Caenorhabditis elegans: one gene and its partner. The protein of the gene in region 2 purifies or fractionates together with the protein of the main gene of each other region. This does not show direct contact. Each region holds a gene or a part of one and is shown on either strand. Other genes may lie near its edges. The genes, in order: pyc-1 and sir-2.2.

Evidence for each region.
Region 1: the proteins of sir-2.2 (region 2) and pyc-1 purify together in Caenorhabditis elegans (affinity purification with western blotting, with the first as the bait; one study listed by BioGRID). This does not show direct contact.

Annotation. Positions count from the first base shown.
Region 1 is NC_003283.11:11,817,146-11,824,461, forward strand, and holds pyc-1 (Pyruvate carboxylase 1), read right to left. Parts: upstream 5,221-7,316; 5' UTR 5,208-5,220; coding exon 5,106-5,207; intron 5,056-5,105; coding exon 4,849-5,055; intron 4,805-4,848; coding exon 4,378-4,804; intron 4,332-4,377; coding exon 3,715-4,331; intron 3,569-3,714; coding exon 3,222-3,568; intron 3,175-3,221; coding exon 2,414-3,174; intron 2,370-2,413; coding exon 1,696-2,369; intron 1,636-1,695; coding exon 1,393-1,635; intron 1,135-1,392; coding exon 985-1,134; 3' UTR 638-984; downstream 1-637. UniProt on the Caenorhabditis elegans protein: Pyruvate carboxylase catalyzes a 2-step reaction, involving the ATP-dependent carboxylation of the covalently attached biotin in the first step and the transfer of the carboxyl group to pyruvate in the second.
Region 2 is NC_003284.9:13,326,334-13,331,689, forward strand, and holds sir-2.2 (NAD-dependent protein deacylase sir-2.2), read left to right. Parts: upstream 1-2,016; coding exon 2,017-2,029; intron 2,030-2,928; coding exon 2,929-3,057; intron 3,058-3,100; coding exon 3,101-3,209; intron 3,210-3,426; coding exon 3,427-3,567; intron 3,568-3,610; coding exon 3,611-3,691; intron 3,692-4,150; coding exon 4,151-4,265; intron 4,266-4,311; coding exon 4,312-4,494; intron 4,495-4,655; coding exon 4,656-4,769; downstream 4,770-5,356. Other genes in the region: F46G10.2 (ILCR1 Ig-like domain-containing protein), read left to right, coding at 1-47, 95-469, 1,029-1,115. UniProt on the Caenorhabditis elegans protein: NAD-dependent protein deacylase. Catalyzes the NAD-dependent hydrolysis of acyl groups from lysine residues. Plays a role in oxidative stress resistance.

The DNA of each region.
Region 1 (7,316 bases), on a different chromosome or scaffold from region 2:
GTGATTTTGAACTGACAATAAATAAATAAAAATCTTTTTGAAGTATATTCTGTTCACGTAAAAACTCTTAACCATATGAAATAAATAGTTGGGCTTACGTTGAAAATCAACTGAAATCAGTAGTAATTTTCAGACGCAAATATCTCGAGTTCTAGATGTCCGAGGCAAAAATGGTCTCTTACGTTGAAGAAGTACATAATATCAGCTATCGAATGGCACTAAATTTGTTTTAAAATTCTAAATTCTCTGAAACCATTCCCAAGTAAAATAAATAAAACTTTAAAACATACGTTTTCTTTTCAGATATTTCAGTCTCTATAATTTGTGTTTTGTTTTTTTTAAATTAAATGGCGTAGTGAATAGTACTATTTACACTAACGTAGGTATTATGTAGAAGTCTAAAGATAAACATTTTCCCCAGCAAACACGAAATTACTGTAACTCCTGTTGATTTATGAGTCTCCATTGCAACCTATTTTTATGTTAAAAATCTTCTCAGCAATAGTGGTCAGTAAAGTGAGACGAGCTAGCTCGCAGTTCGCGTGGCGAGACCAATGCGCGTATGATATGGCGACTCTTCCCATCATTAGATTTCTACGTAATAATTGATTTTATCGAGTTGCTTTATCGAGTTGCATTGCTCTTCGGTGAGTTTCAGTGATAAAATTGAGAGAGAAGTGAACGAGTTTATATTCTACACAAAGACAATGAGCACCCGATGCAATAAATACTTTTTCTAAGAAAACAATATAAATGCAAAAGTGGAGGGAAAACGAAAAATTACTGGCAATGAAGACGTTTAGAAAATTTTGGGGAGGCAATACACAGAATATACACATTGAGATGGTTCGAATGGCAAAGAGAAGGTGGTGGCTAATCATTCTATATAGCACAACGCCAAATATAATTTCGATGTGGCGGAATTTGTGATGGTGAATGGAATTAACAAAAAAAGAGACAAAATGCGAGTTTATTGATGTCAGTTCATGGTTCAACTTCAACTACCAAGTCTCCGGCACTACATTTGGTTCCTTGTGGTGCATGGATAGCCTTGACGGTTCCAGCAATTGGAGAGTCGATGACCATCTCCATTTTCATGGCGGAAAGCACAAATAGGGGTTGCTTCTTGGTAACCTGAAAAGAAATAATTCCTATATTCATTTTTTATGCCATCATTTTTTTATGTGATTTTTGTGTAGGACAAGAAGAAAAAACGTGGGAGGCATAAGGCTATAAATTTATCTCTTTCCGTTTTTCCCTACAATTTCCGTTGTGGGGCCCACCGCTTCTGAATTCGTCCCATTTGTCTTTTTTTGTTTTTCAAAGAAATTCAGAATACATATCCCGGATGCATGATTGATTTATTACATCTTTAGATATGCGTTGTATTACCTTGTCGCCTTCCTTGATTTTCAGCTCCAAAACATCTCCTGGCATTGGTGCTCCAATATGTCCACGGACACCTGGGAGAGCTCTTGGGCGAGTTACAATTTCCTTGGAAGCTTCCTTGTCAACCACGAAGATACTTCTCATTTGTCCATTGAGATCAAAGAAGACTTCGCGTTCTCCACGCTTGTTTAGTTTTCCTTCAGCGAGCAATTGAATTGCAAGAGTTTTTCCACTCTCGATTTCAACCTGAAATAAAATTCATAAGTCGTGAAATTCAGAAATGTAGATTAATGTAGAATCACTTACATCAACTTCTTCCGCAATCTCCAATCCAGTCAAGAAGAGTCTCGTTGGCAGCTTATCAACTGGTCCATATTGTTGACGGAAAGTCTCAAACTCATCGAAAACCGTTGGGAACATCGAATATGACATCACATCTTCTTCAGACAAAGTACGTCCATGTTTCTCTTCAAGTTCGACCTTCACAGCATCTAGATCAACTGGCTTAGCATTTTCTCCTGGCCTTCCATCGACTTTTGGCTTTCCACGAAGGACTTTAGTTCTCAATGGCTCAGGGAATCCATATGGAGGTTGTCCGACATTTCCTTGCATGAAATCAACGACACTTTTTGGGAAGGATAGATCATCGGCACGGTCGACAAGAGTTTCGCGAGTCAAGTTGTTTTGCACCATAAACTGAGCCAAGTCACCGACAATCTTGGATGATGGCGTAACTTTAATTATGTCGCCAAGAACAAGATTAGCTTCACGATACATACGCTTGACTTCATCGAACTGTGGCCCAAGTCCGAGAGAGAATGCTTGGAATTGCAAGTTCGTGTACTGTCCTCCTGGAATTTCGTGCTTGTAAACATCGGCATTTCCACTTTTCATGGTGGTGGCACATTCGAATGGAGCATAGAGTTGACGAGTTGACTCCCAGTATGCAGAATATTTTGAAATGTCATCAAGAGAAAGACCTTAAATATAAATTAGACATTTTTCAAACGATATTGTAACTCACCAGTATCATGTTTAGTTCCTTGAAGACTAGCTACAATAGCTCCCATTGAAGGCTGAGAAGTCATTCCACTCATGCTATCAACTGCAGCATCGACCACATCAGCTCCAGCTTTGGCACACTCAAGCATAGCAGCAACTCCAGCTCCAGATGTATCGTGGGTATGAACGTGAATTGGAATATCTGGGAACTTGTCTCGGAGAGCGCCAATCAACAACTTGGCAGCTTCCGGTTTCAGAACTCCAGCCATATCCTTGATAGAAAGAATATGCGCTTGAGCTTTGACAAGTTGATCAGCCAAGTTCAAATAGTATTTGAGGTCGTATTTGTCACGAGACTTATCGGTAACATCTCCAGTGTATGCGATAGCAGCTTCAACAACTCCACCGGCCTTTCCAACGGCTTCCATTCCGACGAGAAGATTTGGAAGATAGTTCAGTGAATCAAATACACGGAACACATCCATTCCATTTTTCACCGCCAACTCGCAGAACTTGTAAATAACGTTATCAGGATAATTTGAATATCCCATAGCATTGGCACCTCGCAGAAGACATTGGAATGGAATATTTGGAATCAGTTTGCGAAGAGTTTGAAGACGTTCCCATGGACACTCGTGGAGGAAGCGCATGGAAACATCGAAAGTAGCTCCTCCCCAGTTTTCAAGTGAGAAGAGACCATTGAATGATTGGGCAACAAAAGGTGAAATAGCAGCCATATCATAGGTACGTACTCGTGTTGCAAGAAGAGATTGATGTGCATCTCTGAAAATGTGAAATTAATATATGTTACTTTCTTTTTGAGTTTATACCTGAATGTAGTATCAGTGATCATACATCCTGGTCTACTGCGAACTTCCTTTGCAAACTCAGTTGGTCCTCTTTGAACAAGTACATCACGAAGTCCAGTCGGCGGTTTGGCTCCAGCTGGGATGTATGGGATCGGAGGAGAAACAACTGCTGGTTTCAGGTCAGTAGCAAGAGGAGTAGTTGGACCGTTCACCTTAACTTCTCCCAAATAGTTCAACAACTTTTGAGCACGGTTTTGGCTTGGTTTGAATTGGAACAACTCTGGATGCTCATCAATGAAATACGTATCGACGGATGCATCAAGGAAGCTGGGCTGGCGAAGAACGTTGAGCAGAAATGGGATGTTTGTCTGAAAAAGTTTAAAGTTTAGTCATTGATCAGCCATCAGGCAGAATATCAGTCAGTGGCAATGGGTTTCCTTATCAGTGAGAAAATGGTGATAGCTATCAACATGATTTGGTGTACTTTGATTTCATTTTTTGATTGAATTCTCACCTTTACGCCTCGGATACGGAACTTTTTGAGGGCACGAATCATTTTTGCGGCAGCGTTCGGATGATTTCTAGCCGATGCAATTACTTTGACCATCAAAGAATCGTAGTGAGGTGAAATGACTGATCCTGCGAAGGCAGATGCTGAATCAAGACGAATTCCCATTCCCTCTCCGGATCGGAAAACTTCAATTCTTCCGGAATCTGGCTGGAATCCTTTAGCTGGATCTTCAGTTGTGACACGACATTGAATAGCTGAGCCAGTAGTTTGAATAGTTTCCTGTGAAAGCTTCAGATCATCCAGAGATTTTCCTTCGGCGATACGAATTTGAGCTTGGACAAGATCCACACCAGTGATCTCTTCAGTTACTGTATGCTCGACTTGAAGACGTGCATTCACTTCGATGAAATAGTAGTTGCCCTTCTGATCAACCAGGAATTCGACTGTACCAGCATTTTGGTATCCAACATGTCTTGCAAGTCGAAGAGCGTCTGCCAAAATTTTCTCACGAACACCTTCTGGGAGAGCTGGCGCTGGAGCAATTTCAACAACCTTTTGATGACGACGTTGCACTGAACAATCACGCTCATACAAATGAACAATATTTCCATGATGGTCTCCTGAAAAATATATTATGTAATTATAATAGTTTCCGCTGAAACTAACCAAGCAGCTGAACTTCAATATGTCTTGGTCTCTCAACAAACTTTTCAACGAAAAGACTTCCGTCTCCAAACGCAGCTTGAGCTTCCGAGTAGGATCTACGGAATGCCTCTTCAACTTCTTCCAATTTATCAACACGACGAATTCCACGACCACCTCCTCCATAAGCGGCCTTCAAAATAATTGGTGTACCGTACTGCTTTGCAAATTCGACAGCTTCATCAGCAGTTGTAATTGGTCCAGGAGTTCCTGGAACGACTTGAACACCAGCTTCAATGGCAGCTTGACGAGCAGCAACTTTGTCTCCCATTCGAGCCATAACGTCGGGGCTAGGACCAATGAACACTATTCCTGCATTTTGACAAGCAGCTGCAAAGTCAGATCGCTCTGACAGAAATCCATATCCGGGATGAATAGCATCAATGTTGTGCTATAAAGGGTACGATAATCTTGGTCAATTTTTGTCCTACAAACCTTCAGGGCAGTTTCTATAATCTGGTCAATAGTCAGATAAGCAGCAACCGGTGGAAGACCTTTTCCTACAAGATAGGCTTCGTCAGCTTTCAGACGATGCATCGAGTTTTTGTCCTGCTCGGCGTAAATCGCAACAGAAGTTTTGTTCAATTCTGTGAGGGCACGGAACACACGGATTGCAATTTCTCCACGATTGGCCACCATAACCTGAAAAAATTTCCGAATTTATCTTCAAGCACGAAAAAGAAATGAAATACCTTGTTGAATTCTCTTGGTTTGATAACTCCATTGGCATAGTTACGATAATGTGTCTGTCGGACGACATTAGCGAAGATCGGTGGGATGCGGGAGAACCGCATCGTTGTCGTTTATCTGAAACATGCATAGTTTTGAGACGGTGAACCTATTCGGTGAATACAACCAATGAAGATTATTCAATAATGATAGTGTGAACATCGAAGAGACACAGAAACATTACTTTGGTGTACCTTCTACTGTGTGAGAGCAGAAAGCTCAAGAACGAATCGAAGTGTGGTAAACTTCTTCGGAATTCGGACATTATTTGAGATTTTTAGAAGTATCCACGTTGACCACGTGATAAATTAGAACGGTGAAAAATGTGAAAGGTCACGTACGCAGAGCAATAGAGATTTTGAAAAGACCAAGAGGTCACACCACATGAGAGTGAGTGTATGTATGAAGATACATTAATTGATTTAAAAATCATTGTTCATTCTCCATAGAACCACCTAGTGATATTTGTAGAGAAGAATAACAACAGTACTGATAACATTGATAGAATGATAGGAGAAGGGAAGAAAATAAAATATTTTGTTTTTCGATTTTCTAGGTTTTTTCGGTGAAATGAGATGTGAAAGAAGAACCACGTGGCATACCCAAGACCAGACGAAGAACCTAGAGAAAATAAGGAAAATTGAAAAAAATAAAAGTAAACAAAGAAGGAAGTTATCAGAAACTACAGAAACTACAGAAGCCACAGAACGTTCAACATTCAGTTTTGGATTTTTGTAAAATTAGAAAATTAGTTTTTAGAATGGTTTATGAGCATGCCATATTAAATATCTATTCCGCACGGCCAAATATTCCAATATTTTTTGCTGTTCTATCGTTAGTTTTTTTTTTTGATATCTCGGGGATTAGTGTTAATGGTGCGTCCATAGTCTGCGGAAAACGGGGAATTCCCGCGTGCGGAAGCGTCCATAGTCTGCGGAAAAAAACAAGGAGTTTCTCGCTTTGTTATTGGTCAATTTCAAAATAGTGGGCGTGTTCAACCAATTAGAGGCTGTAAAATTTTAAGCTGAGCAATGGGAAAACAAGAAACAACAGCTGATTGGTTGGCCACGCCTACTTTTTGAATTTTGAGGAAAAAAAAAGCGAGGAACTCCGGTTTTTCCGCAGACTATGGACGCTTCCGCACGCGGGAAATTCCCGTTTTCCGCAGACTATGGACGCACTATAATAATTTTTTTTAATTTTGCGGATTTAAAGATATAAAATGTCTTAGAGTATCACAATCAAGTTAAAAATTTGAAAAAAATCTAGATTCAAAGAGAACTAGATCAACACTTTGACCATGGCTATGAATTTGCGGCGACAACAAACTGATAGCCGAGAGACGGTGTTTGTGTCATTTTGTCTTATCAGTCGACTCGGGTGGACACTAGAACACAAAAACTGAGACGCAGAGGAGGAGGATAAATGATTTAAACTTCAGAACCTTCGATTTTTCAAAATGTCAAAATGTTCAAAACTGTTTTTGGTCGTAGTGGGATAGTTAATTTTCGTAAAGGGCTGAAAATAAAAATGATTTAATTAAGTTCACTTTAAAGATCAACATAATGATATTTAATGATCAATGAAACACATTTAATAAAATTAAACTGGCCAATAAACAAGATTTGGATTCCATTTAACGAAAGAATTTCAATGATAAAATTAGAAATTCAGGGTTGGAAACTGAAAGACTATGTGAAAATTGTTTACATAAATTTTATCTGATAGCTAGATTATCGCTGAAAATCGAAAATCTCAGAATCTATGAATTTTCGATCTATCATGACATGACTTATTTCGTACTAATCAAAACATCACAGAACCAGCTTCGATAAGTTTCAAATTTTGATCGTTCTTCGCACTTTCGGCAATCACTGGCGATCACGAGGTTGGCATAAGAGACTCGTAAACGTAGAGGAAAAAAGACTTGTGAGAAAGAAACACGACTGTTGAGTTTAGAAAACGATGCACCATGAACGTACTCAGAACTGCTGTATGAAAAGAGAGGAGGGGTAAAGAAAATACGTGCACATTTTGAATAATTGATGTCTCATTGAGATTAGAGGTCAAAAGTGAAAAGATCAAAGGGTACATAGAACAAATGTTAATTTATGAAAACTTTATAGATACGATATAAAAGTAGTTGATAAAAAGTAAATTTTCATCACAATTAA
Region 2 (5,356 bases):
AAAATATGTTGCATTGGGTTTACGAACAAACAAAAATTGCTGAAAAGGTACAAAAAATTCGGCGTAATGCACACCACGTTTTTCTCATTTTCAGATCATCGTTTTTCATTCTGCATACTACCATCCACGGTGTGGTATCTATGACGTCATTAACAACTTCTTCCCGTGTACCGATCCGCGATTGGCTCACATTGCTCTCACTCCAGAAGCACAGCGAAGTGTGCCGAAAGAAGTTGAATACGTATTGCCTCGTGATCAGAAACTTCTAGAAGATGCATTTGATATCACTATCGCTGATCCACTTGTCATAGATATTCCTATCGAGGACGTGGCAATTCCAGAAAATGTGCCCATTCATCATGAGAGCTGTGACAGCATTGACAGTAGAAATAACTCAAAGACGCATAGTACAGACTCGGGTGTCTCATCATTGTCAAGTAATAGCTCACATTCAGGAGGAGATAATGAGGTCAGTAAGAGAAAAAATGTAAATGGTTAATTAACAGGAAACTTCATTTTCTAATAAATAGAATCACGATCCGAGTGTGCCTTTTTCATTTCATATCCAAAAATTTAGCAAAAAATGTAGATTAAAATTTAGTTTTTATCAGGCGCTTCGTTGTAAAAACAAAGTGTAACATCCCATCAAAAAGTGATAACTTTACCGCAATTTCTCGTGTTCAAACCCAGAAAAGACATTCTTATTGCACATGGCCGCTGAAGAAAGCCTAAGAAGATATGTAGAGTCCAATACTAGTCGTTCGGTGTTTTGTAAGTCTAGAAGAAATAATACAGAATTTTGTAGGAATAAAAAAATTTTACTCCAAAACTTTACATACTTTTCATACTTTTGATATAACTTACAATTAGAGGATTTCAAAAAAAAAATAATTTGAAAGCAAATGAATATAACTAGTACTTAAAGAATGCAGAATTTCAATTGAAGTTGCTAAAATCTAGGTTTGTCACTCATTCAAACAGACTTTGGTTATATGCACATCACGTTTCATAAACATTTACAATTTCAGACTCTGACAAGTGGTATGCCAACTCATTTGAGAGATCTAAACATCGAAGCCCATCCTCTACTTCGACAGCCCGTAGAAGTTGTGTAGCACATTTTGAACATGTGAGCCTGTACAAAAGCCATAATACTTCTCAACTACTATCATCGTCATCTCTCCGTCACCAATGATCTCTACTCAAAACGGTTATGGACGGTTTTTTTGCATAAGGATTCAACTAGCCCTACACGATTGCTTTGATCTCTGTACATTTTTGCGTTTAATATGGATATTTGCTTTTTAATGGATTTTCGATCTTCTACTTTTATTGTTGATTTTTCTGGTTTTGTGGGGGTTGTGTACAAATTTTGTTTATTTGTTGTCGGTAACCACGGGTACCATATTATGTGAATCGTTTATCATCGTATTAAATCATGTATACATGCATTGTACAGAGTTTTTGAATATAATAAATGAACATGACGTCATTTGCACCTACTTTGTGCTTTTGAACTTTCACTGTTTCAGATATTTTTTATTTATGAAAAAAGGTATCTATGAACAAGCTTTTCAATACATTATAACTTTGTTGTATCTGGTCTGATCCTCAATATTTTTGAGTCTTCAAAAGAAACAATTATAAATTGCAATACATCTCAACACTGTTTTATGGCGTCTCAAATTTTGAAAAAAAAAATTATTTTATAAAAATTGATTTGCAGCAGACATGTTGAAAACGGTGCTTTTCTTTTAAATTATTTTTGTTGTGATAATGTAATTAACTACAACTTTACATAAATTGAACTGAATATACGGGTCATTCATTTTTACAAACCTTATCTATTCTATCAATACCATGACTTTTTTCGCGAAAAGTCAGCCGACATGACATGACTCTTATCTCTTTTTTTTTTGTTAATTCTTTTTTTGTTGCGACAAATTAGTGTCAAAAAACGTGAACCCATTCGATCACATAACATTTTGAACTTCAAGAAAATCACACAATCGATAAATGATGAAGTATGGTAAGTCAAAATTTTCTAATATTCCAACTGATTAATAGTTAGTGTGTTTGAGTTTTACTTTTTCAAATTAATGTTTACATTAAAACAACTATAACAATCCTCAATTGAAATATTGTACACGAAATAAAAATCAAAACATATGTATGAACATATTTCTCTTATCTTTTTGTATTCTGTCAAAGGGGTCTAATTTTTTTGACCATTTTTTTGTCAGTTAGAACCAAATAAAATCATGCCGCATGTCTGTGAAAAATCACCTTATTCTTTCTCTTTGAGATTGATAAAAACGTTCTGTAGGTTTTCCAAAATGTTAACTAAAAAATCAAATTTAAGCCGTCGGTATAGTATTACAGGCTAGGTATAGGATGCTCGGATAATATTAATTTTAAAAATTCGAAAATGCATCATACATAAAACTTTTTAATACAAAATATAGATGTTTTCTTTTTATTTATTTATTAATATAACGTATCTATATAATTTTCAATTAAGCAATAAATATTTTTGAAGATTTGAGGATAAAACTAAGCAAATTCTAAAACTGCAATGTTCAATGAAATTGCGTTATTCAGTGTTACCTATAAAGATTTTTCAAAACGTTACTCTCTTATTCTTCTCCCATTCACGTGTTGCACTTTCTGCCAGCCGCCTTCTCGGAGAAACTAGGAAATATCTGTGACTTTCTCTAGCCACTCTCTACTCTCTCGTCAGTGCAAATAGAGCGCGAATGCTTTAAAATGACGCATCAATCACTCTGTCGGTCATTTGATTTTACACTTTTCACTGATAGCTTAAAGCTCGGAAGCGGAACTATAGTGAAACATTTTATAAATTACGATTTAGATTTTTTTGAATTCTGTATCATGCTGCCTAATTTTTAATAATTTGAATATTTTTAGGCATGGCTCAAAAGTTTGTACCGGAGGCCGCCGAGCTCTGTGAAAATTCCTTGAAAAAGTTCATATCTTTGATTGGAACAGTGGACAAGCTGCTTGTCATCTCTGGAGCAGGAATATCTACAGAATCTGGTAATCTTTCATAGTTCCGATACTCAATCGTCTAAAATTTTAGTTCCAGGTATCCCAGATTACCGCTCGAAAGATGTGGGGCTGTACGCAAGAATTGCACACAAGCCAATTTATTTTCAAGATTACATGAGGTCCAACCGTTGTAGACAAAGGTGAGGTTATGCTTGGAAAAAAGTGAAAAAAGTAAAGCTGGTTAAGAAAAAAATGTTTTCCCGTTACGATTTTTCTACTCAACAGAAATGTTTTACAAGTACATCATCAAAATAGTCCGGGCTTTTTTTTTTAAATATATCTTATTCATGGTATAATTTATGCTAGCTGAGCCTTCAAAAAATATAAAATTTCAAAACAATAATTTCATATTTTCAGATACTGGTCTCGCAATTTTTTAGCCTGGCCGAGATTTGGTCAAGCTGCTCCTAACATCAATCACTACGCACTATCGAAATGGGAAGCTTCCGATAGATTCCAATGGTTAATCACACAAAACGTGGATGGGCTTCACTTAAAGTAAAGACGGTCAAAAATGAGTTAAAATTTTTTTTTAATTCAGAGCGGGCTCAAAAATGGTAACGGAACTTCATGGCAGTGCTCTTCAAGTAAAATGTACAACATGTGATTACATTGAATCAAGGTACATTGGACTGAATCAACTCAATTATGGAAAAAAAAAAACAATTTCTCAATGAGGAATTGTTTGATAAAAGCTAAAACAAATGATGATTTACTAAAATTGAACAATCACATGTAGCGTAGAAAAAAGGATTGTTATACATATTTGGATTTAAAAAAAACGAAAAGATAACATTTTAACTAAAATGTTGAAACTTCCTCTAAAATGTATCGGTGAACTTCCTTATAACATATTTTAATTAACGTACATTCTTCCTAATTGATAATGTTTGATCATTGTAACTTCATTGACTTTTCGATTTCACTCCACTTCCTGAATGTGTGGAATGGCAGACAATCTAAGAGAGTATGGACGCCTCTTAATGTATCTAATAGGCCACTTCACATTTCGGTTTGTGAACGTAAAAATAACCGTTTATTTTATAAGGGATCTCATAAAATTAAAACGTTTCAACTTCAGACAAACGTACCAAGACCGACTTGATTACGCAAATCCTGGGTTTAAAGAAGAACACGTGGCTCCAGGAGAGCTGGCGCCAGATGGTGACATTATTCTACCGTTGGGAACTGAGAAAGTAAGTGTTTTACGGTGGAATAAGTCGAAAAATACAGTGTTTTCAGGGTTTCCAAATTCCCGAGTGCCCAAGTTGTGGGGGACTTATGAAGACAGATGTCACGTTTTTTGGAGAGAACGTTAACATGGACAAAGTCAATTTTTGTTACGAGAAAGTGAATGAATGTGATGGGATTTTATCACTTGGCACGTCGTTGGCGGTGTTATCTGGATTTCGGTTTATCCATCATGTAAGGCTAATGGGATTTACTGGATGACTTTTTTGGTTATCTAAAAACAAAAACGTTTTGATGTTTCCGTGGGTAGCACAAAAATTAACTATTTAAAAAAATTTCAAACAACTTTTTTAGATTGTTAAGAGTCCTTCAAAAATAAAAATGTAAACTTTCAGGCTAACATGAAGAAGAAACCAATTTTCATAGTCAATATAGGACCTACAAGAGCTGATCACATGGCGACGATGAAGTTAGATTATAAAATCTCTGACGTTTTAAAAGAAATGTAGACTAAGACGTGTAGTTTTGGAATTTGATAATATTGTGTTGACGACAGTTTTTTGGGTACTTTCCGTTTGTATTTTGAAACTTTTTTTTATTGTTTGAATAGAATGGCAATTTGTTTCATGTTAATTGGAATAAACAATTTTTGATGAATATGATTGTGAAAATGCGTTATTTTCAGAAAAAAAATCATCTACTCCTGCAAAAAAAGTAACAAAATTGGCAAAACAAAATCCTGGAATTAGGAGATAGACTCAAATATTTTACCAAACAGCTTTTCTATATTATGAGAATATAATCACTTTTTGTTCATCAAGGATAACTTGCTTAGTTCTTTTTTAAAGTTTATGATTCTTCTTTAGTAGTAGTTTTTTTTTTTAAATCAAGATTCCCAATGGGATGATCATTTTAAACATCGCACCATATTGCTTTGATGACATGATTTAAACTATTTCAACACCTTCGTAAGGTTAGATTTTTATTATCAATTTTGTCAAATATTTTATTTCCTCATTAAACAATTATTTTTAAAACCTTGCTATCAAAAAAATTGTGGACTTTGTTCTGTACCTAGATAATCTTCCAGCTGTTG